Xenopus tropicalis: one gene and its partners. The protein of the gene in region 1 interacts with the protein of each later gene in a pairwise test. Links are inferred from orthologs where the notes say so. Each region holds a gene or a part of one and is shown on either strand. Other genes may lie near its edges. The genes, in order: ssx2ip, top3b, shfl, mrpl53, card9, fam161a and cchcr1.

Evidence for each region.
Region 2: the proteins of ssx2ip (region 1) and top3b interact in binary tests that used the Homo sapiens proteins (3 or more experiments, as listed by UniProt). The two-hybrid records come from large-scale screens. The link is inferred for Xenopus tropicalis from reciprocal best matches to the Homo sapiens genes SSX2IP and TOP3B.
Region 3: the proteins of ssx2ip (region 1) and shfl interact in binary tests that used the Homo sapiens proteins (3 or more experiments, as listed by UniProt). The two-hybrid records come from large-scale screens. The link is inferred for Xenopus tropicalis from reciprocal best matches to the Homo sapiens genes SSX2IP and SHFL.
Region 4: the proteins of ssx2ip (region 1) and mrpl53 interact in binary tests that used the Homo sapiens proteins (3 or more experiments, as listed by UniProt). The two-hybrid records come from large-scale screens. The link is inferred for Xenopus tropicalis from reciprocal best matches to the Homo sapiens genes SSX2IP and MRPL53.
Region 5: the proteins of ssx2ip (region 1) and card9 interact in binary tests that used the Homo sapiens proteins (3 or more experiments, as listed by UniProt). The two-hybrid records come from large-scale screens. The link is inferred for Xenopus tropicalis from reciprocal best matches to the Homo sapiens genes SSX2IP and CARD9.
Region 6: the proteins of ssx2ip (region 1) and fam161a interact in binary tests that used the Homo sapiens proteins (3 or more experiments, as listed by UniProt). The two-hybrid records come from large-scale screens. The link is inferred for Xenopus tropicalis from reciprocal best matches to the Homo sapiens genes SSX2IP and FAM161A.
Region 7: the proteins of ssx2ip (region 1) and cchcr1 interact in binary tests that used the Homo sapiens proteins (3 or more experiments, as listed by UniProt). The link is inferred for Xenopus tropicalis from reciprocal best matches to the Homo sapiens genes SSX2IP and CCHCR1.

What each region holds. Positions count from the first base shown.
Region 1 is NC_030680.2:77,508,229-77,510,697, forward strand, and holds part of ssx2ip (afadin- and alpha-actinin-binding protein), read left to right. Parts: intron 1-1,481; coding exon 1,482-1,596; intron 1,597-1,698; coding exon 1,699-1,837; intron 1,838-2,193; coding exon 2,194-2,248; 3' UTR 2,249-2,469. UniProt on the Homo sapiens protein: Belongs to an adhesion system, which plays a role in the organization of homotypic, interneuronal and heterotypic cell-cell adherens junctions (AJs).
Region 2 is NC_030677.2:153,942,775-153,946,792, reverse strand, and holds the start of top3b (DNA topoisomerase 3-beta-1), read right to left. Parts: upstream 2,801-4,018; 5' UTR 2,651-2,800; intron 1,067-2,650; 5' UTR 1,022-1,066; coding exon 952-1,021; intron 617-951; coding exon 485-616; intron 1-484. UniProt on the Homo sapiens protein: Releases the supercoiling and torsional tension of DNA introduced during the DNA replication and transcription by transiently cleaving and rejoining one strand of the DNA duplex.
Region 3 is NC_030679.2:136,804,603-136,806,899, forward strand, and holds the end of shfl (shiftless antiviral inhibitor of ribosomal frameshifting protein homolog), read right to left. Parts: intron 2,255-2,297; coding exon 2,106-2,254; intron 1,779-2,105; coding exon 1,558-1,778; 3' UTR 501-1,557; downstream 1-500. Other genes in the region: angptl6 (angiopoietin-related protein 6), read left to right, coding at 1-72.
Region 4 is NC_030682.2:123,899,100-123,903,045, reverse strand, and holds the start of mrpl53 (39S ribosomal protein L53, mitochondrial), read right to left. Parts: upstream 2,801-3,946; 5' UTR 2,731-2,800; coding exon 2,636-2,730; intron 1,587-2,635; coding exon 1,474-1,586; intron 1-1,473.
Region 5 is NC_030684.2:6,411,995-6,416,205, forward strand, and holds the start of card9 (caspase recruitment domain-containing protein 9), read right to left. Parts: upstream 2,801-4,211; 5' UTR 2,623-2,800; intron 2,431-2,622; exon of another isoform or gene 2,247-2,430; intron 1,349-2,246; 5' UTR 1,115-1,348; intron 1-1,114. UniProt on the Homo sapiens protein: Adapter protein that plays a key role in innate immune response against fungi by forming signaling complexes downstream of C-type lectin receptors.
Region 6 is NC_030681.2:33,455,500-33,459,454, reverse strand, and holds the start of fam161a (protein FAM161A), read right to left. Parts: upstream 2,801-3,955; 5' UTR 2,770-2,800; coding exon 2,605-2,769; intron 1-2,604. UniProt on the Homo sapiens protein: Involved in ciliogenesis.
Region 7 is NC_030684.2:75,143,476-75,147,614, reverse strand, and holds the start of cchcr1 (coiled-coil alpha-helical rod protein 1), read right to left. Parts: upstream 2,801-4,139; 5' UTR 2,420-2,800; intron 1-2,419. Other genes in the region: tcf19 (transcription factor 19), read left to right, coding at 3,488-3,770. UniProt on the Homo sapiens protein: May be a regulator of keratinocyte proliferation or differentiation.

The DNA of each region.
Region 1 (2,469 bases):
TAATCCCACTTGTTCTCATAGCAGAAAAAATTAAATTTTTATGTTAAATGGTATAAAAATACAATCAGTTACGTGTCTACAACTGATATAATTTCAGTGTTCAGTTTAAAAAGATCACAGTATTCATAGTAACGCCATGTATATTCAAGTTTCCACCATTATCTGTCATGTAATTTTACTGCTGGGTACTTACCAAATGCGCTAAGCAGTATCGCATGTCATGCTTTGTAAAATTTCAGTGTGGTTAATCTTCTGTAATAGCTCCTTTTTAATGCCAAATGTTGAGCAACAACAGTTTAATATCCTCATTCCATCACAATGGCTTACACTATCTGCAGTTTTGGACACCAGTACATAGGAAGGATATTGATGAGCAAGAAATGGTGCACATGTTCAAATACGCTGATATTTAAAATGAATAGAACAATTGCACTGAAAAATAACTACCAAATATGTGTGGGTTTTTTTGTGTTTTTCACTAAACTAGCACGAATAGTTGCACTTCTCAGGAGGTGTTAAGTCGGCCACACACAAACCAAATATCATCAATACAGTGGCATAAAGGTTGCTTCTACTGATCTGAGGAGCAGTATAAAGCCATTTTCTTAAGTCTGATGAATTACACTTTAGCATCTGCCAATCTGAATGACTAGTCTGAGGCAGGTAGTGTACTCTTGGTATCTACTAAGTGATCAGTGCCCCACCTCACTAATGCTCTTGTGGATCAATGGAAGCAAATCACTTTATTTTTCCAGAAGAGTAGAAACCCTTTAGCAGCAAAGGGAATAACAGCTTCATAGCAATACCCTTGGTTTCTGAATAAAATATAGAAGCAACAGATGTCCTGATATTTTTGTTAATATAGTGTATTTGTCAGTGTCTGTGTTTTTTGAGGATGATTTAAAGATTTCATGAATGCTGCATTTCTTTAAAGATTCTGCAGAATACAGGTTACAATTATAAAAATGATTTGTCCTATTAATTAATTTGCCGTACATGTAAAAGCATAGCTTAAATCTAATCAAAACAGTATGTAAAATCATTCAACATAATGAGGTGATTGAGACTGAACAAGCATCAAATCATCAAATCTTCTTAGCTATTAATAGAATCTGCCATCACAGCAGCACCTGGCAATGGAGGGCAGTGGATGGCAGCTTTTGTTTGGGGGGTTACTTTTCTTTTAAGGAGGCCGCCAACACACTATGTGCTGTTACAGAATGTACCATTTCTGCTCAGAAGCTTGTTCTGAAATTCGCCTTTCTGTTTCAATATGTAAGCTTGTATCAATATATACTGTATTGCTAGTTTCTGTCCTCTGTGTAGTACTTTTTGTTTTACTATCTCAGTTTCTAGAAAAAGAGAGAAATACAACCTTAGCATATTTAGCTAAGGTTTAAACTAATAAAAATGTTTGTGACCTTACAAAATGACATTTTGGTAACCGATGTACATATTTTCTGTTATTGCTTGTCTTATAGAAAAAGGCCTTTGAAGAAGACAGAGCAGCTTGGTTAAAGCACCAGTTCCTGAACATGACACTGTTTTCCGACCACAAGAATTTGGAAGAAAGGAAAGCACATGGAGTTCACTTCAGTGAGTTTTAGTGCTCATACCAAAAAAACAGTTTTCTGGGATTTTTTTAATGTTATTTATATTTATCATAACTAATCGTTCTTCAAATTTTCATTTGATTAGGTCCTGAGCAAGACCATTGCAGACTGCATAGCCATCCTCATGATAGATACCTTGTATCGTCAGGAGACCATTCCAGACACCCAAGGAAAACACTGCCCATTACACCTTCTTCAAAGCACAGTCTGACTCAAAGAGAAAGGTATTATAACATGGCTTGCTATACCCATGTCTCCTTGATTTAATTTGATGAACTACCTTGTGTTGACTACCAGCATCTTTTTTGTGATGGCTTCACACCATAGTTTCAGTAGTCTTATAATCTTGGGGGTTTGTAACTCTTGTTTCAGAATGATATATGTGTAAGGATGTTTTAGGTTGTTTTAATATTGAGTGCAATATAAGAAATTTAGATAGAATATTATGAATATGTAGGCATTTCAAAAGGCTAACCGTAACGACAATTTGCATTTGCTAAAGAACATAGATGAAGGCTAATAAGTGTTGCTGAATGAGGTTCAGTGTTTTAATGTATTTTATTTTATTTATTTTTTTTAGCATTGCATGGAGAGATTCGAGCATTAGTCCAAATGGCAGTGACTTTGCAAATTAATTCCAGCTCCAGGCCGGGTCTGCATGTCTGGGAGAAGAAATCTTAAGCACTTGCACAGACAGGCTTATGTCTTGGTTATTCTTAGCTTTGTTTGCTGTAAAATACCAAAGCATTTCCCATTTAGCAACTCTATCTGATGATCTTCTACTAAATTAGCAGCAGTTTATATGGCTTTATATAGCATTACAGGATTTACCGAATTAGCACACAAAATGGGGACA
Region 2 (4,018 bases), on another chromosome or scaffold:
CATTAGGGTTTATACATTTTCCTTTTTCACTGATTTGGTATAAGCTTACTGATATACATAGCACACTTTTAAATGCAATTCATTTAGAATGAGCCAAAAGATGGTGAACAGACTATACTGCCTAGAATAATTTTCTGAAGCACTTTAGAATGACCAAAACTAGAAAGAATAGGATCCCCATAGTGGAGGATATATGTATTATATAGAAGTCACAAATAAAAAAAGTTATATCATAATATAAAGCTTAACTTTTAAATCAACTTTCAAAGACCTTTATGAAATTGCTGCACTTTGATAGGCCCTACAATTAAGTTAACTGCACTTATAGTCCATATATTTTATGAAAAGGCTGAAAGAAGTTACTCAAGTGAATGCTAAAAGGCAGAGCCTTTTAAGGATATAATTAAACTGCTAACGCGTGCATTTAGAAGTCTTATATAATATACAAAATGGCAACAGAGATGAAAGAAAATATTCACACTACCTATAAAGTCCAAGCTCATAACGTGACCACAGACAGATGTCATCTTGAAGCGCACAGTCTGTCCCATGAATGATCCTGTGTATTCATGAACAGAGCACGCACCATTCAGTCCTTTACGAGAGGAGGCACTCCCTGTAATGTATTATAGAAGATTTTATGAGTGACAGTTATTTACCAAGGGTTCTACATATGCACATATGCTGAACACTATTACAAACAAAAATAATATCCCCTTAACTATCATTTACAGACCTGGTAAATGTCCTGCAGGTCACTGCAGGGGAACACAGGAAGAAATTCATTTCATTCTTTCTAATAAGGCTGTACTAACAAAGGCACATGTAATAACCTAACGCAGGTGCAACAAAACGCTTCCTTTCGATTTTTTTTTTTTGCTTTCCAATTATGCAACAACACATCCTGCAACCCTTGCAATTGTGCTATGAAATACATGTTCTGACACTTACCTCTAGAAAGAATCTTTGCGATTGACTGTGCCAATGAAGGCTTCTCTGCAACCATGAGTACTGTCTTCATTATTCACTTATTAAGGCACACGTGTCCAGTGAGAATAGGATGGTCCTTGTAAATAAGAGTAGTAATAGTAAAGTTTCAATGTATATATTGTATACTCTCCCTATTCAATATCCCAATATCTAAGGACTGGTATTACAGTTTGCTTATGATCATTTAGTGTTGCTTATATTGCTTAAAAACACCAGTAAGCAAAAGAGCAGATTTATCAAAATGTGAGATTAGACAGAAAAACTTTCTATTAATTCCTATGGAAGTTTTAGAAATGTATTTATTAAATAGCAAATTCTAAATTTCACCCATTGATAAATACAATTCTACAAATCCCACAGGAATGAATGTAAAGCAGGTGATTTTTTTTCCTGTGGTGAGCTCTTATCTCACATTTTGATAAATCTGAACCTTAGTTAACTGCAAACAGACATAAGGTATTTGTTACCCCTTCTGTGGATACAAATCACCTGGTGGCCTTGCCTAATAAACTGCAGTCGTCACCAGGTGAGACTTTGTCAGGATATATATCCGATTAATGTACCATTGTACATTAAAAACAGGTGCCATTATTATTGCCCTGTTCACAGGCTAAGAAGTTGTTATTCAGTCAGGGATGGCAGTTCTTACTGGCCTGTGCAACAGCTTTAGAGAGAGCTTCAGCACATTGCTGATATAAACCAATGTAGAAGAAATCACGTTTCTCTTCACCTTTAGGGTAAGAACCCACAGAGTGGTTCAGTCACCCGCGATAGATCTCTGCTATTGCGGGTGACTAACCACTCCTAAATGGCTTTCCACCGGCAATAATAGGAGTTGCTGGTGGAAAGCCCTTTGCATTGCTTTGTTTATCGAAGTTGCCTGCAGGGGGGAAACTTTGTGCAACTTCTGATTACCAAAGTGATGCAAAAGGTCTTTCCACCGGCGACAGGCCATTTCTGAGTGGTTAGTCACCCGCAATAGCAGAGATCTATTGTAGCCAACTAAACCACTCTGTGGGTTCTTACCCTTTAGGGTTTTTTCTAGAAATTGCATGTTTATCAGTTGATATCGTGCCCAATCAGGTGTGCCTTAAGGGTGAAGACACACGGAGCTACTAGTAGCAGCTACTTGCCACGGCTACTATAATAGACAATGATAATCCTTTGCTGATAATTGTCTCTACGTGTGTTTTAGCAGAGGCAATTCTCAGAATTGTCTATGTCTATTCTGGGGTTTAGTAGCTGTGACTAGTAGCTGCTACTAAGTAGCTCTGTTTCTTCGCCCCTGCACTGGGAACTGTGTTTTGCATTTAGAAAATACACACAGGCATAGAAATCACAAGGTGGAACTATAATACTATTAAGTACAAACATTTGCTCATTGTATAGAGTAGAGTCATGCAGGGCCAAATTAAAGTTTTCTACCATGGTACAACTGCAAATCCCATCTTATTAAAGCTTCTGTTTATATAACATTGTTACATAATAAGTGATTATCCTTAAATACATTTTTTTATTTAGTCATTTATAGCTTATGAACATTTTAGCAATGCAAGGAATACATTTTGGTTACGTGTAAGAGAAAGGGAACAAAGATAGCGAGGTTGAGAAGAGGGGAGTTGAGCTTTAATATGTATAAAGGGGACCTTTTTCCTTATACCTCCCAACTGCTCAGTCACGAATTTTATAACACAGCGCGCACTCCCGGATCGCTGTTTAAATGTCCCGCATCCCCGTTTATATGACCAGGTCCTAGGCTCCAGCCGGCCCGCTCACGAAAGGTAACTGCTAGGCTCCTAGTTGCTAATGGCCGCGAGTGACGTCACAAAACGTGAAGACGCGGTGACGTCTCCAATACGTACATTCGGCGCCTTCTTCAAATGGCCGTATAAACAAGTTTATAGGTGAGTGCGGCCCTCAGTGGTTACTCTGGGATGCCTTGGAGAGAAACGGCTCGGTAAAGGCAGTGTCACAGTGCTTTACTGAGAGAGTATTGGGTTGCGCAGTATAGCATAATTTTTTTTCTTAGGACAGGAGTAAATGTAGGAGTTTATTCAGTTCTTGCCTGAATACTGGGACACTTGCTGTTTAGTGAAAGCTGTGGATCTTTTACGCCCTTGCTGGTCTCTATAAGGCAGTGATCCCCAACCAGTGGCTCAGGGGCAACATGTTGCTCCCCAACCCCTTGGATGTTGGTCTCAGTGCCCCCAAACCAGGGAGTTATTTTTGAATTCCTGACTTGAGGGCAAGTTTAGGTTGAATAAAACAAGATTTCCTACCAAATAAAGCCCCTGTAAGCTGATAGTGTGCATAGAGGCCCCTAATAGCCAATCACAGCCCTTATTTGGCACCTCCATGAACTTTTATGGTGCTTGTGTTGCTCCTCAAGTCTTTTACATTTGACTGTGGCTCACAAGTAAGAAAGGTTGGGGATCCCTGCTGTAAGGTGTGTGCCCTTAATATTAGGGGGTTATTGGAGCCTGCTTATACGTGGAGTGCTTGTATTTTTCTGTTTGGGTAAATGTGCTGATAAGTTCTGGGGTGCGTACTTTTTTTTTTTTTTGAAGGGTGGTTGTTGAATTTTTGGTTGGATTGGGTTGACGTGCGGCAAAAATTTGAGCTATAGGGAAGAATTTTGGAGTGTGCTGATGTTTTTGGTGTGTTAGATAATTTGGGGGGATGTTTTTTTGTGGGGGGGTAGGATTTTGTGTGCTTAGAATTTCTGTTGTGCTTTTTTTTTTTTTTTTTTTTAACCAGAATTTTGAGAGGAGATTGGGTTAGTCCTACTGGGGGGGCATAAGTATTTAGATGTCCCAATGTGGGGGTACAGTGTGTGGGCAGATTAGGAGAGCTGTGCTAGGTTTGTCTGTATGTCTGTAGGGGGGTATTTGACTCTAGAGCAGTGTGTTGGGGAAACTAGACCCATCTATCAAATCTGAATGGGTTGTGGCAGCAGGTGAGGTCTATAGTTATGGATGTTTGGAGGTGTGGGAGTAAGGCATTATTTATGTTTCTTAGGTATTGTATG
Region 3 (2,297 bases), on another chromosome or scaffold:
TATTGGGCTGAATTTCGCGGTGGTGCCTACTCTCTTAAGAAGGTGTCCATGATGATCAAACCAAATGTATAATGACTAGACTCACCCTGCACAGACATCAAGTAACCCTATGGCATGAAATAAGGCCTCAAAAAAGCGGATCTCTATTACCCCCAATGATATGGGATCACTTGACATCTCTGCTCTCTCACACACACACATACCCCCTTTAACATCTGTTTTCAATGGCTATTGATCTGATGCAAAAACCAGTGCAGGCTGCAGCAGTGTTAATTGGGCAAGTGCGATGTAGATACAGTATATGTGTGAGGTTTTAATAAGAGGGTGGGGGTAACCCTAGCACTGATCCATTGCTCAGGATCATCTTATAATGGTCATTGCCATGTATGTATAATAAAGAGTTTATATACACTGTAAATCCCATGTATCATCATTTTCCATATATGAATCTTTTATCTCTTTTCATGGTTTCAGATAAAGGTCAATCGAGTTTTCGAGTCTTATTTTTTTTTTTTTTTATTCTGAAAAATCTTTGCATTTCAGAAAAACACGTTAAGATAGCAAGAACAATTTTTTTTTTCAAATATATACATCTTCAAAAAAGAGAAACTGAAATGGAAAGTGACCCTTATAGGGGGCTTAAGTGCCAATGCTTTTTTTGCAGCAAAAGATGCAGACGCAAATCTGCTAAAAGCAATAAGTGCTACATTCATGTCTAACTCTGGCTTCTGCTACAGGCACCTAAATCAAGTGTCATTTTGAGAAGTAGGAGGAGTTTGACCAGAAGTGTAATAAGGAGGGGTTATATGGAACAATAGGAGGAGTTACATGGAGCAATAGGAAGAGTGATAGGGAGGAGTTATATGGAACAATAGGAGGAGTTAATTGGAGCAATAGGAGGAGTTATAGGGAGGGGTTATATGGAGCAATAGGAGGAGGTATAGGGAGGGGTTATATGGAGCAATAGGAGGAGTTATAGGGAGGAGTTATATGGAGCAATATGAGGAGTTATAGGGAAGGGTTATATGGAGCAATAGGAGGAGTTATAGGGAGGGGTTATAGATAGGAAATATCTGCAGCAACAAGGTCTATAGGGAAGGCTTACATGGAGAGCCAAGAGGACTTTGTGGAGCAGGATAAGGCTTTAAAGTAAAAGATTATATTGATAAATATATGGAGCAAATGAAGCTTTAAGACGAGTATGAAGTCCTGCTGGTGAAGGATATATGAAGTGTGAGTTGTATGGACCAGTTCTGGTTACTTGTGAAAAAGATTAAGGCACTATGGGAACGTAGTCCCTACACTTCTGCTGGCTAAGCCAATGTGACTCAGCTTTCGTCTGCACTAGGTACACTGATAAACTGAAATTACAGGAACTGAAATAGAAATGAGTATGTTCTAATCTGCAGCCAGGAGAGAGATAAGTATTAAACAGAAGCAAGCCAGTGGCCTACAGGTTATATGGAGAGGCTCTGACAGTGTTGGGCTTTGGTCTCGGTCTGGCCAAGCCACTCTCCACTTACGCTCGGCCAGCGGGTACCTAATAAACACGTGTCCTTAGCCATCACTGTCATCACTTCCCTCATCCTCTTCCTCCTCCTTGATATCGTCCAGTATGATGTCATCAATATCGTTTTCGGTCAGACTCCCTTGGCTCAGGCAGGTTGCTATGGTGGAGCCTGTACTGATGTGGGGCTCACTGGGGTGCAGCACTTTGGGGAGCTGGTTCATGATTCGGCTTTTTGGATGGGCGCACTGCAGGCCAGCAACGAAGGGTACTGCAAGGAGGGCATTAAAGAGATCAGAGTTGGCTATGGCTGTAAAGATTCACCAAATGAGTGGCCGATATGGCCATAAGCTAAAGTGGGCTGATCCAGTCATTCATTCCCAAGCCAATGGGATCCCAAATGGTCCTTTGGGGTAAAACTGCATCAACAGCCTGATGTGGTGAACCGTTGGCGGGCTTATGAGTTGGACCTATAAACACTGGCCATATTGGCATCTACTGTCAGACTGTGTATGGCCAGCTTAGAAGGACGTGCTTGGTAAATAGAGCCCACCCCTTGCAATATCTCTCCTTCCTCCCCCTGTGGAATCCTACTCACCTCTTCGGTTGTAACAATTTTCGGCTAAACAGCTGTGAGTATTGCGGGTTCGAGGGCCTTGGTTCCGGCGAGGTGGGAGGATACAGCTGGGCAGCACAGGGTTTCTACACACATAACACGGACTGCTGACTTCTATCTGCCCGAAACCCCTAGGGAAAAGACAGACAGAAATTAGAGAAGTAGCATAAGTCT
Region 4 (3,946 bases), on another chromosome or scaffold:
GTTGGACTATTTACAACTGTATATGCAACATATTTTGTTTAAAGGACAAATAAACCCCAATTCACAGGGGATGCCAATTTAATTCATAACCTGGAACCCCAGGATGGCGATTCTTGGATCTTCCAGCAAATGCACAGTATAGGAATAGTTTTCACTTTATTATACAGCTCCACCTACTGGATACTTAAATAATAAATAAATCATACCAAAGCAACCTATAAGCATTTAAGAAAGTACTTGCCCCTTTTCTTCCACAATGCAGCTGTACATAGTTGTAGGTACAGAACAGCTATACGATGAAAGAGAAAGCCTTATGTGCCTTGTAACCATCCTGATGTTCCTTTAGCTTAGCATGGTGGCAGTATATTGAATATGTATAAAAAAGCACCTGTCACTGTGCCCAGCAGAGACTGAGAGTCGGACTCAGCATACCTGTGCCATCGGGGAGAGGGTGGAATATACTGAAGTCAGGGAAGACAGGAAGGCATACAGCTGCTCTCCCCATAAATGCAAACAATAGGTGAATAATTAAATACGTAATGGGGTTGTCCACCTTTGAATTAACTTTTAGTATGATGTAGAGAGTAACAATTTGCAGCTGGTCTTCATTTTTATTGTAATTTTTTTTTTTAAAGGTAAGTTTTTGTTCAGCAGCTCTCCAGCTTGGAGTTTTAGCAGCTATTTGGTTGCTAGGCTTTAAATTACCTTAGCAACCAGGATGTGGTTTGAATGAAAGACTGATATGTGAATAGGAGTGGACCTGAATAGAAAAATAAGAAATATAAAGTAACAATAACAATTAAATTGTAGCCTCACAGAGCAACATTTTTTTGACTCAGGGGTCAGTAACCCCCTTTTGAAAGTTCCAAAGAATTAGAAGAAGAAGGTGAATAATTCAAAAACTATGAAGAACAAATAATGAAGACTTGAAAAGCTGCTTAGCACTGGGCTTTCTATAACATACTAAAAGTTAACTAAAAGGTGAACCTACCCTTTAAAAACAATATAAAAACTAAATAATGCAGGCCAACTGCAAAATTTCTAGGAATAGGCCATTCTATAACATACTATAACAAAGGTAAACTATCCTTTAATATGCTTAGCAAGATCCACCAGGCAAAGTAAAATAAAAAAATAAAAAAAAGTTGGAACAATTTGTTTGTCACATATGTGACACCACATATCACTGTGCAACCCATCACAATCTGACTGCAACCTTTAATAGACTGTAGTTATTTATAGTTGGTTTCACAGTATTTTGGCACCTCTTGGTGAAACAGCTAACACAGAGGAAGGATGAAGTAGATCATATAATTAAATATCACAACCTACATTGTTAAGACATTGTGTGTACACATTGCTAACAAAACTCTATTGGTCATCCCTGGCGCAATACACAAAAGAGATGACCAATCAGTCTTTTATTGTTAAGTATGTATATTTGTTTTGCTGTTAATATAATATGAGACTCACCAAACAGAATATCCACGTGGGGTTCACTCCGATCATGCCTCACATCTACAGCAATGTCACAGTTTGCGTTGGAAGAGCGGATTTTTTTGGAGTTTATAATATCCAAAAATTCTCTGGAAAAAGAAAAGATTCAAAATTCAAATAATTATTAGCAATAATAATAAGTATTATAATAAAATGGCTACTCCTGGAACAAGCATAATATCCAAGTCTATCATGATCTTAACATCTATTGGTATAAGTATTGGTATATGTAGTTTATATATCTGAGTGCACATAAAGGTCTGTATGTATATAAGATAGATATGTATATAAGACAGATATATGCAATGGCGGTCATTTAGAGGGGTTGAGCAGTAACTCTGGTCTAAAAATGTTCACTGGGCCCCTACACTGTGCGGAAAACCGCTTTCTGAAAATACCGTCCTACGCAGTATTTTCGGCAACCGTTTTTCCGCTTGCCGAAAATATATGCCCTACGCCTCATCTGGCATTAGCCTTAGAGAAGCTTACGTATAAACTCCACTGACCTCCCAATTAAAATGCCGACGTATTACCACATTATTTTTACTATGTTTATTAACCACTAATGACTAGTTATTGGGCCCCACAGCAATATCATTGGGCACCTAAACTTAAAAAACATATGAATTTCCATATCAAGCAATGACAACACAGAGCAGGGGCAGGTAGGTAGGAAGGGGTTAAACTTTAATGACCCCAAAACTCTGAATGACATTAGCACATCAATGGAACAGCAGTTCATATTGCACACACAAGGGGCATGGGCAAAACGGTGATACCGCACACTTGTGTTCATGGGGGGCCCCATATGGAGCCAATGGATGTAGTTATAATATAGTGGTTTAATATGGTGGAACATAGTGCAGCAGGGTGCAGGAAAGCAGTTTTACATAAGGTGCTGACCCTAGTACTGCCCTAGACTGGAATGACTGGGATTAGGAAGGTACCACCTACAACGAGGGTGGGGGGGGTGCAAACAAAATAGCTGGTACACAAGAGTGACACAAGTGCCCCATGTGTTTGTATGACCTTAGGCACTTAATGAGGAGAATGTGCTGTATATGTACATAATACTAGTTCCCCATATAGAGCCGAGTGACTGAGCGCAGTGTTGCTGCTCCTGTGGGGCACTACTTACCTAACGTGCCGGACATTGGGCTCAAAGGGACAGAATCGCACAGCGATGGACTTCACTGACTTTAGCAGCAGCTCCGAAGCACCGACAGCAGCCATCATCCCGCACACATGCAGCCAATGAGAGCGAGAATCTCCCTCTCCCACAATGCAATTCGCAAATAACTCTCCGCCCCCCGCCCCGCCAAAGCTTCCTGGGATATGTAGTTCTTTAAGCGGGGATAAAAGATGTGACGTGAGAGGAAGGTACGTACGTGTACATGTAATTTCTTAATAAGCAATAAAGCCATACCAGGTGCTGAGTGGTGCAAATAGAAGCACTGGCAATTTCACCAACTCTTGTTCACACAGGCGATCCTCCTTATGTTGCAGGTTGCATCCAGTTGCGCTTAATTCTACTGTATGTATGTATGTATATCTTTATTTATAAAGCGCTACTTATGTACATGAATACAAACGGGGTTATTTAGATCAGTGTTTTTCAACCTTTTTTGGGCAAAGGCACACTTGTTTCATGAAAAAAATCACGAGGCACACCACCATTAGAAAATGTTAAAAAATTTAACTCTGTGCCCAGCAGCAGTGCCCCCCTAGTACATTGGTGCCAAGAGCAGTGCCCCCCTAGTACATTGGTGCCCAGCAGCAGTGCCCCCCTAGTACATTGGTGCCCAGCAGCAGTGCCCCCCTAGTACATTGGTGCCAAGAGCAGTGCCCCCCTAGTACATTGGTGCCAAGAGCAGTGCCCCCCTAGTACATTGGTGCCAAGAGCAGTGCCCCCCTAGTACATTGGTGCCAAGAGCAGTGCCCCCCTAATACATTGGTGCCCAGCAGCATTTTACTTCTGCTCTTCGGCAGCTTCTCCGGTGGCTTCAGCAGCATCTTCGTATCCCTCAGGTGCGCCGCCTCTGCACTTCTGCCTACACGCGACCGCACACAGGCCCTTTTATAACGTTGCGCCCCGTGCGTACTGACATCACCCGTACACACGGGGCGCAACCAATGACAGGGCCCGGATTTTATTAAAGGGCCCCCTTTGAAAGTAAAAATTGCGGCCCTGCCTACGGCACACCAGTCAACAGGGGTTGAAAAACGCTGATTTAGATAGTAATAGATAAATACAAAGTATAACAATAAACACAAATAAATAAAAGATACAGTTGCAATAACTTAAGAGCCAAAGACACAATAGGATGGAGGTCCCTGCCCCTAATGCAACTTTATACCTTAGGACATATCTGATTTTGCGTCTGATAATGGTGGTCGCAGCTACACTGGAGTTCTGGGTAGGGAGATTTTATTGTGAGTAAAAATCATG
Region 5 (4,211 bases), on another chromosome or scaffold:
CAATTCTGTACATGGTTCCATCTACAAACTTCAATCCTGTACATGGTTCCATCTACAAAATTCAATTCTGTACATGGTTCCAGGAACAAAATTCAATTCTGTACATGGTCCAGCTACAATATTCAATTCTGTACATGGTTCCAGCTACAAAATTCAATTCTGTACATGGTCCAGCTACAAAATTCAATTCTGTACATGGTCCAGCTACAAAATTCAATTCTGTACAGGGTCCAGCTACAAAATTCAATTCTGTACATGGTCCAGCTACAAAATTCAATTCTGTACGTGGTCCAGCTACAAAATTCAATTCTGTACATGGTCCAGCTACAAAATTCAATTCTGTACATGGTTCCAGCTACAAAATTCAATTCTGTACATGGTTCCAGCTACAAAATTCAATTCTGTACATGGTCCAGCTACAATATTCAATTCTGTATATGGTTCCATCTGCAAAATAATATCCTGTACATGTTTCCAGCTACAAAATTCAATCCTGTACATGGTTCCATCTACAAAATTCAATTCTGTACATGGTCCAGCTACAAAATTCAATTCTGTACGTGGTCCAGCTACAAAATTCAATTCTGTACATGGTCCAGCTACAAAATTCAATTCTGTACATGGTTCCAGCTACAAAATTCAATTCTGTACATGGTTCCAGCTACAAAATTCAATTCTGTACATGGTTCCAGCTACAATATTCAATTCTGTACATGGTCCAGCTACAAAATTCAATTCTGTACATGTTCCAGCTACAAAATTCAATTCTGTACATGGTCCAGCTCCAAAATGATATCCTGTACATGGTTTCAGCTACAAAATTATATCCTGTACATGGTTCCAGCTACAAAATTCAATTCTGTACATGGTCCAGCTACAAAATTCAATTCTGTACATGGTTCTGTACACAATTCTGCCTCCCTGCAGACTGGACCAGTGCTATAGAATGGGTTAGATAGGGTAAGTGCTAAATACACACAGAGCATAAGTTTCTAAATAGCCGCAGTAGTTACACTGAATTAAAGGCAAAGTTATATATATTTCGATAAGAAAGAGAGATCAGATTAACTCTCTGGGGCCTGGGAGAGGGGGTTACAATAAAGGGTAAGCTCACCTCTTCTAGAACAGTTGGTCCGTCTGGGAGCTTTCAGCCAAGCGTCTTACTCCGTCCCATGTCAGAGAGCAGGAATGGCAAGGAGAGAAGGAGAGGTGTAGAGCACGGGGGTTTGGGAGGGGCGAAGGCGGCTGTGTAGAAATGACTTCCTGGTCTGCACACAGTCGCATACCACAGTGCAGCTTCACAGTCTGCAGAGATCACTTCCCATTACTGGCTGCACGGCTGCTGCTGCTGGGGAGTCACATGGAGAGGCAGTGAGGTTAGGAACGTTAATGACCAATGAGCCACCGGGCAATAAACAGTGCAATATTCTAGTGATGCAGAGAGTGCTATTCTGAGAAAACTTGCAATTGGTCTTCGTTTTTTGTTATTTGTAGTTTCTTAGTTATTTCACTTTGCTCAGCAGCTCTCCAGTTTGGAGTTTCAGCAGCTATTTGGTTGCTAGGGTCCAAGTTATGTTAGCAACCAGGGAGTGGTTTGGATGAGAGATTGGTATATGAATAGGAGAGGGACTGAATAGAAAGATAAGGAATAAAAAGTAACAATAACAATAAAACTGGAGCCTCACAGAGCAATAGGTTTTGGCTGCCGGGGTCAGTGACCCTGTTGCTGGGGCTCCAATTACCTTAGCAACCAGGGTGTGGTTTGAATGAGAGACTGGTATATGAATAGGGGAGGGGCTGAATAGAAAGATAAGGAATAAAAAGTAACAATAACAATAAAACTGGAGCCTCACAGAGCAATTGTTTCCGGCTGCCGGGGTCAGTGACCCCCAAAGAGTTGGTAGAAGAAGGCAAATATTTAAACTATAGGAAATAAATAATGAAGACCAGTTGAAAAGTTGCTTAGAAATGGCCATTCTATAACATACACAAATTACCTTGAAGGTAAACCGCCCCTTTACGAGCAGCATTTGCCCAGCTCCCCCCCCTTTCCCAGGTATGGCAAGTCACCCTATCAGAATTCGGAGGAGAGCAAATATGCCACACAGCCCACATTCCACCCTGATTGGCATTCAGCCTCGGCATCCGGACACATTACACCACTCACGTGGCTAAAGAAGGTGTACTTTCCCTTTAATTGTAATTATTCATTTAATTGTAAGTAACGAGGGCAATTAGCGACTTACCTTACCCACGGGGGAAGGACTTATTCATCAAGAACGCACGGCCGGGTGGGGCAATTAATAGAGACCGGCGGATGCCTACAGTGCTCACTAATTGGCTTAATTGCACCCATTAGAGGTCAGCTGACCTCGCACACACTCGGCCAACCTGCTCCCAAAATCAACCCACACGGATACAGCCCCCCCCAATGTTATTGGCTACTCCCCCTTACTATTTAGCTCCTCCCCCAGCGGCTACGGTTTCTATATGTGCATACAGGACCCTCCAATCAGGATCCTGAAGGTTTTACCTTCCCATAATTCCAAGAGGAAATGGGTTTGGCCTTTACACAGAACACCTGGATCTGCTAAACAAAGGTGGGGGGGGGTCGTCACCAACCTGTGGCAGATACCGGACCCGTTGGGACATGTCGGTTGCCTGAGATCGTCACTGGGAATTCCACGTGCTCGGAACTGATTGGCTCGTGGCTTCCGGTGGCTGCATGTGGCTCGGCCGTTCCGCTGGGATTGGGGAGTCGGCGTTGGAGGCCGGGAGAGAAGAGAGGGGGGGGTCGGAGGAGTCTTCCGAGAGTGAAAATTGGGATAAAAGTGGATTAAAGGGGAAGGGGGGGGCAAAAGGTATTTGCCTTGGGTGTCAGTTTCGATTGCCCCAGTTCTGCTGTCAGTGACTTATTTTGGGGGTGTATGGATGGACAGATGTGCCCCCCTGTCCCCTCACACAGGCCATTGGGCTATCTGGGCAACCATGTATATGGCCCAATCACACCCGCCATGTCTATCCATTCAAGCTTTCCTCTCTATGATTTTATCTCTCCCCTCCTCGCACTAAATGACTCCCCTGGGGCACCATCTCCAGTATGCGCCACTGTCTCACCCCTGGCACCCTATACCCACAGCGAGCTACTCCCAAACATGGCAAAGCTGGGCATCCCATCTGATCTCCATATGGGAAGTGTCGTTCCAAGATGGCTGTACATGGGGGAGAGGCAAGGTGCAGGCGGTACATGGGGGAGAGGCAAGGTGCAGGCGGTACATGGGGGAGAGGCAAGGTGCAGGCGGTACATGGGGGAGAGGCAAGGTGCAGGCGGTACATGGGGGAGAGGCAAGGTGCAGGCGGTACATGGGGGAGAGGCAAGGTGCAGGCGGTACATGGGGGAGAGGCAAGGTGCAGGCGGTACATGGGGGAGAGGCAGGGTGCAGGCGGTACATGGGGGAGAGGCAAGGTGCAGGCGGTACATGGGGGAGAGGCAAGGTGCAGGCGGTACATGGGGGAGAGGCAAGGTGCAGGCGGTACATGGGGGAGAGGCAAGGTGCAGGCGGTACATGGGGGAGAGGCAAGGTGCAGGCGGTACATGGGGGAGAGGCAAGGTGCAGGCGGTACATGGGGGAGAGGCAAGGTGCAGGCGGTACATGGGGGAGAGGCAAGGTGCAGGCGGTACATGGGGGAGAGGCAAGGTGCAGGCGGTACATGGGGGAGAGGCAAGGTGCAGGCGGTACATGGGGGAGAGGCAAGGTGCAGGCGGTACATGGGGGAGAGGCAAGGTGCAGGCGGTACATGGGGGAGAGGCAAGGTGCAGGCGGTACATGGGGGAGAGGCAAGGTGCAGGCGGTACATGGGGGAGAGGCAAGGTGCAGGCGGTACATGGGGGAGAGGCAAGGTGCAGGCGGTACATGGGGGAGAGGCAAGGTGCAGGCGGTACATGGGGGAGAGGCAAGGTGCAGGCGGTACATGGGGGAGAGGCAAGGTGCAGGCGGTACATGGGGGAGAGGCAAGGTGCAGGCGGTACATGGGGGAGAGGCAAGGTGCAGGCGGTACATGGGGGAGAGGCAAGGTGCAGGCGGTACATGGGGGAGAGGCAAGGTGCAGGCGGTACATGGGGGAGAGGCAAGGTGCAGGCGGTACATGGGGGAGAGGCAAGGTGCAGGCGGTACATGGGGGAGAGGCAAACACAGGCTATGCACCATACA
Region 6 (3,955 bases), on another chromosome or scaffold:
CACAGCATACACCATAATAAGCTTACACTGCTAACAGATATAGCCTGTAATCTCTTGTGGGCAGGGCCTGTTGCATCTCTTGTTTCAGTCTCCCATTATCTCTGTTTATTAGTCATTTCCTTGCACATCACTGGTTAATTTGAGATATATATTTATATATATATATAAACTGTATAAAGAAAAAAAATTTATAATATAGGAAAATTTAACAGAGCATCATAAGCTTATATCTACATATAACAGAAATATAATAAATGAATGGGCAGGGATTAAAGGACAACACAGACAAATTCACCGTGGAGATGCCAATTTGTTACCAGCCTCACGGACTCCTGTGGGTGCTACTCATCTTTGAAAAATGTTTTTATTAAAGCACAGAGCTGCCATCTTTTGCTTCTATTTTCCCATTTATTGCATTCACGTGCATTGATTTAGATGCAAGTAAGTGTGTTCTTGTAAGTTCAACAGTCATTTCTTCATTCTATTACATTCTGAACGTGCGTCAAATGCACAAATATAGTAAGTAATTTTAAAACCACTGAAAACCTTTCATTAACATATTTGCTTAAAATTACATTTTCTTTTATTGTACAAAAATACTAGTTGCAGGGATCCACTATTTTCGGATTCATCCAAACCCCGAACCCTTCGTAAAAGATTTGTCCAAATACCGAACCAAATCCAAATTTGCATATGTAAATTAGGACACGGAAGGGTTAACGAGTGCAGCAAAAAATGTTCAACTTCCGTATTTATGTGACAAAAAGTGTTTTTAAGGATTCAGATTTGGTTTGGCCAGGAGCGTGGATTCAGCTGAATATGAATCCTGCTGAAAAAGGCTGAATCTTGGCCAAATCCTAAACCGAATCCTGGATTTGGTGCATCCGTAACTAGTTGTCAATGTTTTACTTGTGTTAAGTGTGACATGAATGTAAGTTTTGGGACAGGTCCATACTCTCCCCCACTCCCTGTACGCTTTCCTTCTCCAGATATAATGACTATGAGATCTCTTTTCAGCCCTGCAGATTTTATAGACATTGAGACAACACCATCACGGGTTTGCCAGTGCTCTGCTTAATTCAGTAAATTGCTTCCCAGCTAATGCTCTATAGTCACTAAAAATAACTACCAATCTAATCCTCTTTTAAACGGGATCCCCTACATTGTAGCTTATACTGTTCAGCTTTTCACCATTATTAGCATGTAAATGTAACTGATGTGCCAAATAGCACTCTGTATAATTAGCACTGGCATCACATGATCCCATCTGTTAATTAACCGGTGCCGAATAGGCTTATAAAATAAACACCAGATGACAGGCTAGAGATAATTCCCAGAGCATGCTGCCCTTCCATGCCCAGGCTAACTAAGTAATACAGCGATGTCAAACCTGCGGCCCTCCAGCGATTGTTTAACTACATCTCCCATCAGCAGGGTCAGCAGCCTCTGTTACTTTTTTGTAAACATTATCCCAATGAGTAGCACCCCCCAAGTGGAGTCGGAGTCAGAAGCAACTACTGAGTAGCTGAAGGATTTATGTAAAGACTCCATAGACTGGCCAGGGCTGTGGAGTCAGATTTGTAGAGTCAGAAGCAAATTTGGGTACCTGGAGTCTGAAGTACCATAAACTGAGGAGTCACTGGATATATGTACCAACTCCAAAGCCCTGCCCTATAATTGCACCTTAGGCACATGCCCCTTCTGCCTACCCCTAGTTCTGGGCTTACCTACCATTCTTCAACATATAACAAAGGAGTTGTGGGGCCAGCAACACTTGGGAACCCAAAGGTTCTGTTCCAAACAGAGTTCTAATGTTTGCCGCCTGTGCCCAACTCATATGCCTACTGTCTATAAGTTACAGCAGAACAAACCAGGCTGTAAACCCCAAAATACCATGTTTGCCTAATAAAAAACGTAAATCTACGAAACTTTCCAACAGAAATTCATAAACATTTTTCAATGGTCTTAAAGAGATACTGACACCAGAAAGTAAATCTTTTTTTTTACATCTATAATAACATTGTCTTTGCAAGAACTTTAGAATTTTGCCATAAAAATATTTGCCTGATGCGTTTACATTACCTGTCTGATCCTCGGTTCCTCTAAGTGGGGGCAGCCATATTTGTCTGTTAGCATTAGAAGCTGTAACTGACAGGCTGGGAAGGGACAGTCAGGTTGGCAAAACAGTCAGGTGTAGGAACTTCAAGTAACAATTACTTACAAAAGCAAACCTGTCAGCGAGACACCATCAACATGACCTATAGGTAACTTTTTATGTATATTCATATTTTAAAGTGAACTGTAAATGTAATTGCCATTTAGATCTGTCTAATGAAGCACTGTAGCAGCAGCCACTTGCCTGTTCCTAGCCCTGTCTGTGAATCAGCTGCCCTCTGCTACATTGTTTCACTAGTTACAACCAGCAGTTTGACAGATGAAGCTATCAAAAGAAGTTCTACTTACAAATAACTTTAACACAATGGGACATTTGTAATAAATATATTTGTATATATAAGTTTAGCTCAGAGATAAATTGTTAAGAAGTTTGCTATCTTTAGGTTTCTATGAGCTTTAATATTCCAGCTGTAAGAATAGTATCCATACCATTGATGTTCTTGGAAGTCTCTGGGGTGAGACAGAGGCAGTTCGTTGTTGTTGCCTTTCCCCCAACTCCCGTTCGTACAGGGCAAGCGGTGCTTTGGTGTAGGGGTTCACAGGGGTCCTCACACAGGCGGCAGCGAGCACTGATTCCTTGTGAGCCTGCGCCATATTGGCACGGAACCTTCAGCTTTGGCCGCTGCCTGGCAACCGCCGACGCTACGGAGTCTGCGAGAGACCAACCTCTAAAGCGATCACAAACTGAAGCCACGCCACATGGCATGAGAGAAAGGAGACAATAACCTAGAGCGCGCTGTTTTCAGAGCAGCAACTGGCGCAGGCTTCCAGAGTTTTGCATCCAGCTTTAGTTTATCTGCCGCAGAATGAGACTAATGATGGTGGAAATGCGAGTGCTTAGGGTACTCCCAAAGGCAGAGCATAACCAGCTCCAAACTTCAGCCCACACATATACATTTGGCGACATCTAAAGCGCCGGCTGCCAACACAATACTCTAGCTCCGCTTTCCTATAGGGCGCTCTAGCGATAGTGCCCACCCTGCGCTCTGATTGGCTGAGGCGAGAGCACTACAGCCCCCTCCGCACGGATTTGGAAGAGAGCGGATAATAATCCCGGTAGGGGCGGAATAATGCACAAAGTGCAGTTATTAGTTTATTTGCCTTCAGATAGCTTTTCATATGCCCGTGGTTTTTAATTTGTGTGCCCAAGAGCCAGAGAAGGGGTGGGTAAGGCTCATAAGGGTGACCATAGGAGGTGCCTACTTACTTACAAAGGCTCATTGTTGAATTTAGGGTGATCTCTTCTTTTTTTACGCTAGACCTTCCTGGCATTAAGGTTAAACTATTAAAGTTGTAATACATTTCAAAGCATTGTGGGAACTGTAATCTTACTGAATAGCATCCTTTATTTTCTGTAAATTACTTTTTGGGTGCTTGATCATAATTTAGGAGCATTATAAATAGCACTTGACTATACTCCTATGGCATGTGTGTACCTTTCATGTATATTTATGTTATTTTACACAAACAAATTAAGGTTACACATACCTTAAAGGAGACATATCTTATAAAAATAATGAATGTACCAGTGAATTATACTCCTCTAGACATAGAAGGAATGTGCTTTAAAAAGTTGTATTTCAGACTGATTTATTGAGAAATTCCCCCAAACCCCACTAGCCCCGCCCATCTGTTCCACTTCCTGCTGGCTGAATTCTTTGGATGTGCAGGGGGTGCCAGCGGCCCTCCATAAACTGCACTGTAGGATAGGAACCAATCAGCAGCTAGGCTGACCTGATAGGGAACTGAAGCCTGTCTGTGCTTGTGTGAGTGCAGGGCT
Region 7 (4,139 bases), on another chromosome or scaffold:
AAGACTAGTAGGCCACCATCAAGCAACCATATGTAAAAAAATGACTTTGTAAGTAAATAAAAGGAGACAAATTTTGAATGTATTAACTAAAGACGGCCATACATGGCAAGATCTGCTTGTTTGGGAAGGTCTTCAATTTTCAGCCAGATTTCTGTCAGGTAGGCCCGACGGTTGGCCCCATTTGTATAGCAATAAGTTGCCGACTCGGTGCAGAGGGACCAAGTCTGTTGGCTTTACTTATGTTAGTCTTTGTAGGCTGGTCTAATTTTTCTTATCATAAAGGATCCAGAAAAAAAAAATAATTGTGACAGCACAAATGTGATCTATCCTGCAACCTAGAGTGGAAGTGGACACGGTGGTGCTAAAAAGATTTTTCTTTAGGGCTTTTAGAAAAAAAGAAACTATTTTTCAGAATATACTGAAAATATTTTGCCTTCAATGTTTTACATATTTAATTAAATGACATGAAGTATAACTTTAAAGAACAAATAAAACTAAATTCACCAGGGGTGAATTCACTGTTCCAGTGAATCCAGTTGCTACGTTTTTCCCTCGGATTGCTAGACTTATACCTGCACATGCAGGGTCGGACTGGGCTGCCAGGACACTGGAAAAATACTTGGTGGGCCCCAGCGGCCCAGACTCGATCCTGTTTCTGCTTCCCCTGCCCACCGATGTCCTCCCCTGATGCATTGTACATACGCTTAATCAGGGGATGACGTCAGGTGGGGGAGGGTTAGGGGTGTGCGGCGGGGGCCCCTGCAGGGGATGTGGCCGGCGGAGGTACCTTGGGGGGTGCAGGGCCCCTGGGCAGTAGCCCCTGCACCCCCCAGTATGACCCTATGCATATGCAAAATCAACTAACATTCTTCCTATTCTAATAAATTACAAATGCCCAAATATAGATCTGCGAGAGGGGAGCTTGGGAAGTAAAATGGCACTGCAGTACAGTACTCCATTAGAAATTACTTTTTTTTTTTTTTTCCTTCATAGGAGTGCAGGCTCGGGGAGTATTTATTAACATCAGAGACAAACATTACCAGCAGGGTCGGACTGGGACTGGGACACCAGGAAAAATCCGGCGCTCCCCCTACTGACTGTACCTCCCCTGACGCGTTCAATTTATACATGCTCAGGGAGGATGTCAGGTGGGGGCCCTGCAGGGGGGTTAGGGGACGCGACTGGCTGGGGCACCTGCAGGAGCCCCAGTGGGCACTGCACCCACCAGTCCAACCCTGATCACCAGTGATATTGCCCATAGCAACCGGATGACATTGATGCACTGATGACATCTGTATCAAATGTTAATAACTACACCCATAGGTGACTGAATTCACTGGGAGGTGCACCCTAGGTGAAATTAGCTTTCCTTGTCCTTAAAGGTCACCTTTATATATTTAAAAATTGTTAAATTTGTGTTTTTATCATTTTGTTGCTTAAAGCAGAAGAAAGGGAAAATCACTGGGAGTGCCAGGGGGCACCCACCAGTGACTGTAATGGCTTACTTTTTATCCCAGGCTGGTGCTCCTGTTAGGAGAAAAGCATACCAGCCCGGGGTAGCTGTGAGCCAGCCATTCTCGTTCTTTTCTTGCTGCTTGCGCACAAGCAGTAGAGTAAAAAGCTGAACTAACAAAAAATCCAGCTTTTTCACTCTGCTGCGTATGCGTGGCACTCCCAGTGATTTTTAGCTTTTCTTCTCCTTTAATTTACCTATTACAGGTATGGGATCCCGTATCCAGAAACCTTTTACCCAGAAAGTTCTGAATTACAGCAAGCCCATCTCCAATAGACTCTATTAAAAGCAAATAATTCTAAAAAATTATTTTCTTTTTCTCAGTAATGAAAATAGTACCTTGTACTTGATCCCAACTAAGATAAAATTAAGCCTTATTGGAGGCAAAACAAGCCTATTGGGTTTATTCAATGCTTAAATTATTTTTAGCAGATTTAAGTTATGGAGATCCAAATTACAGAAAGATCCCTTATCCGGAAAACCCCAGGTCCTGAGCATACTGAATAACCGGTCCCATACCTGTATTATGTTATAGGATGGCCTATCCTTAGAAACTTTTTAACCAGTCTTTCAATTTTTTGGATTATGTACAATTCTCTTCTGCCGCTTTTCAGCTTTAATACAGAGTTTTGGTTGCGGGGCTTAGTGTGCCCTATTTTAAATGATTTCACTTCTATTCAGGTACTTTTCTTTTATATTGCACTCTCTCATTCAATCAACTGCTGGTGGCTAGTGTAAACAGGTGCCTAGTAACCATATTGCTGCCGACATTTCAAACTGGACAGCTGCTAAATACAAAACTTACAAATAAAAAGACCTGCATATTTTCTCAGAATTTTCCACTCTAAAACATAAGTTCATGTAAAAAATCTTGGCGTCACTGGCAAACATTTGTGTTTTGCTTACCTGCTACTACTGAGTGAATATAGGCTTGAAGTCTCTATTTCCCAACAGATCTTAATAACAATCTCGCCACTCAAGAGCATACATCTATGGATAGCATGGTAATAACAACCCGACCCATGACTGTGATGGAACTATAATACATTCCTCTGTACGCTTTCCCTTCTGCGATCAACAAATTTCGCGGCTTTAAGCCCGGGAACCAATCCCCTATCCTACTGCAGCCGTATAACTAACACCATTCCAAACAGAACTACAACAAATCCTTCCTCCTGGCAACCTTCTTTTACCCACTCACTGTTCGTATTTGTTTGTTTCCAATAAAGTTAAGCAAGATATATTTGCGTAGCTGCTATCCAATCATAAGCACAGAGGAAACTAAGCCGCCAATCATAGAAGACACGAAGTCTCTTTCGCGAGAGTTTGGCTGGTAAAAAAAAACAGGCGCGGAGAGCTCTTAACCAATCAGTATAAAGTGAGTAAAACTGTTGTCGGCTAGGTACAGTGTTTTTTTGCCAGACAGTTCGTTTGTAGGCGTGGTTACAAGGAGGTGGGTGTCAACCTATGGGCGATAACGCGCCAAATTTCAAAGGCGCGCTTCCTTCCTCTGATTTCCCGCCGTGGTCCCGGTCAGAGTTGGGCTCAGCTGGTAGCGGCGGCTCGGTGGGAACCGTGACGTCACGCACTCAGTCTCCCCCGCTATATTGCGACTCCCATGGGAAGTAATTGCTAGGGGGAGATTTGTGCATGAAGAGTACATCTACTGTAATAGTGTGGGATGCAAACTATATTGAGGTCTGCAGTGTTAGGTTAGGCAGCCTTAGTCGGTCTAGTTTCTGTTCTGTACAAGGGCATTGTGTTGCTGATAGAATTAGGTGAGATGGTTCTTCTGTGCGAGGTTTAGGGCTGCTATTAAGTATTAGTGTGCTGCACTGCGACAAAGAGCTCCACCTAAACTTATAAATAAAATCTATATATTTAGACTAGCAGGGACAGTATTTCATTGTGGGTAAGGGACTCCATTAAGGTAGTGGGAAAAAGGTGGGTTGGTCAGAAAATTGGCAGGCTGCCATGGTAGGGTCAGAAGTTGTGCTTACACAGGTACAGCCCTGTTTCCAGCTTTTGCGCATGGGCTCAAGCCCAGGACAGTCAAGCATAAATGCAAATAGCACAGCGTCCAGAGATTTGTATACTTTCCTGCCAGACTCGCCATGCTGCATCTACCGACTGGGAGCCCAGCATGATTTATGTGATGTCCCCCTCCCTGGAAAACCTGCTGTCCATGCAAAAATACATGCAGAGCGGGAGCTCTCAGGAGACTGGAAGGTTAACTTGGAAAGCTGCACTCACTTTGGTAAGTTTGTAGCCAAATAGTTCAGGATATGTAGAGATTTCATCACTCTTATCTGGTGAACAACTATTTCTTAGGTATGCCCAGGCTCTCTTTGTTTTGGGCTCATTGTACTCCACCTATCGCCCTTTATGTTTGTTATCCCAAGCCAATGCTCACACACCCTACTTAGCTGTGTTGGTAACCCTGTGAAACATACAGCGCTGCTCACAAGCCCACAGAGTGCTCTCATTCTCAAAGCTTTTATTTCCCCTGCCATAACTGTAAAGCTGGCCATACACGCACCGATAATATCGCACGGAACCTTGGTGCATGTATGGCAACTCGGCAAGGTGACCAATATGGCAGAAGGCTGCAGATATTGGTCGACTC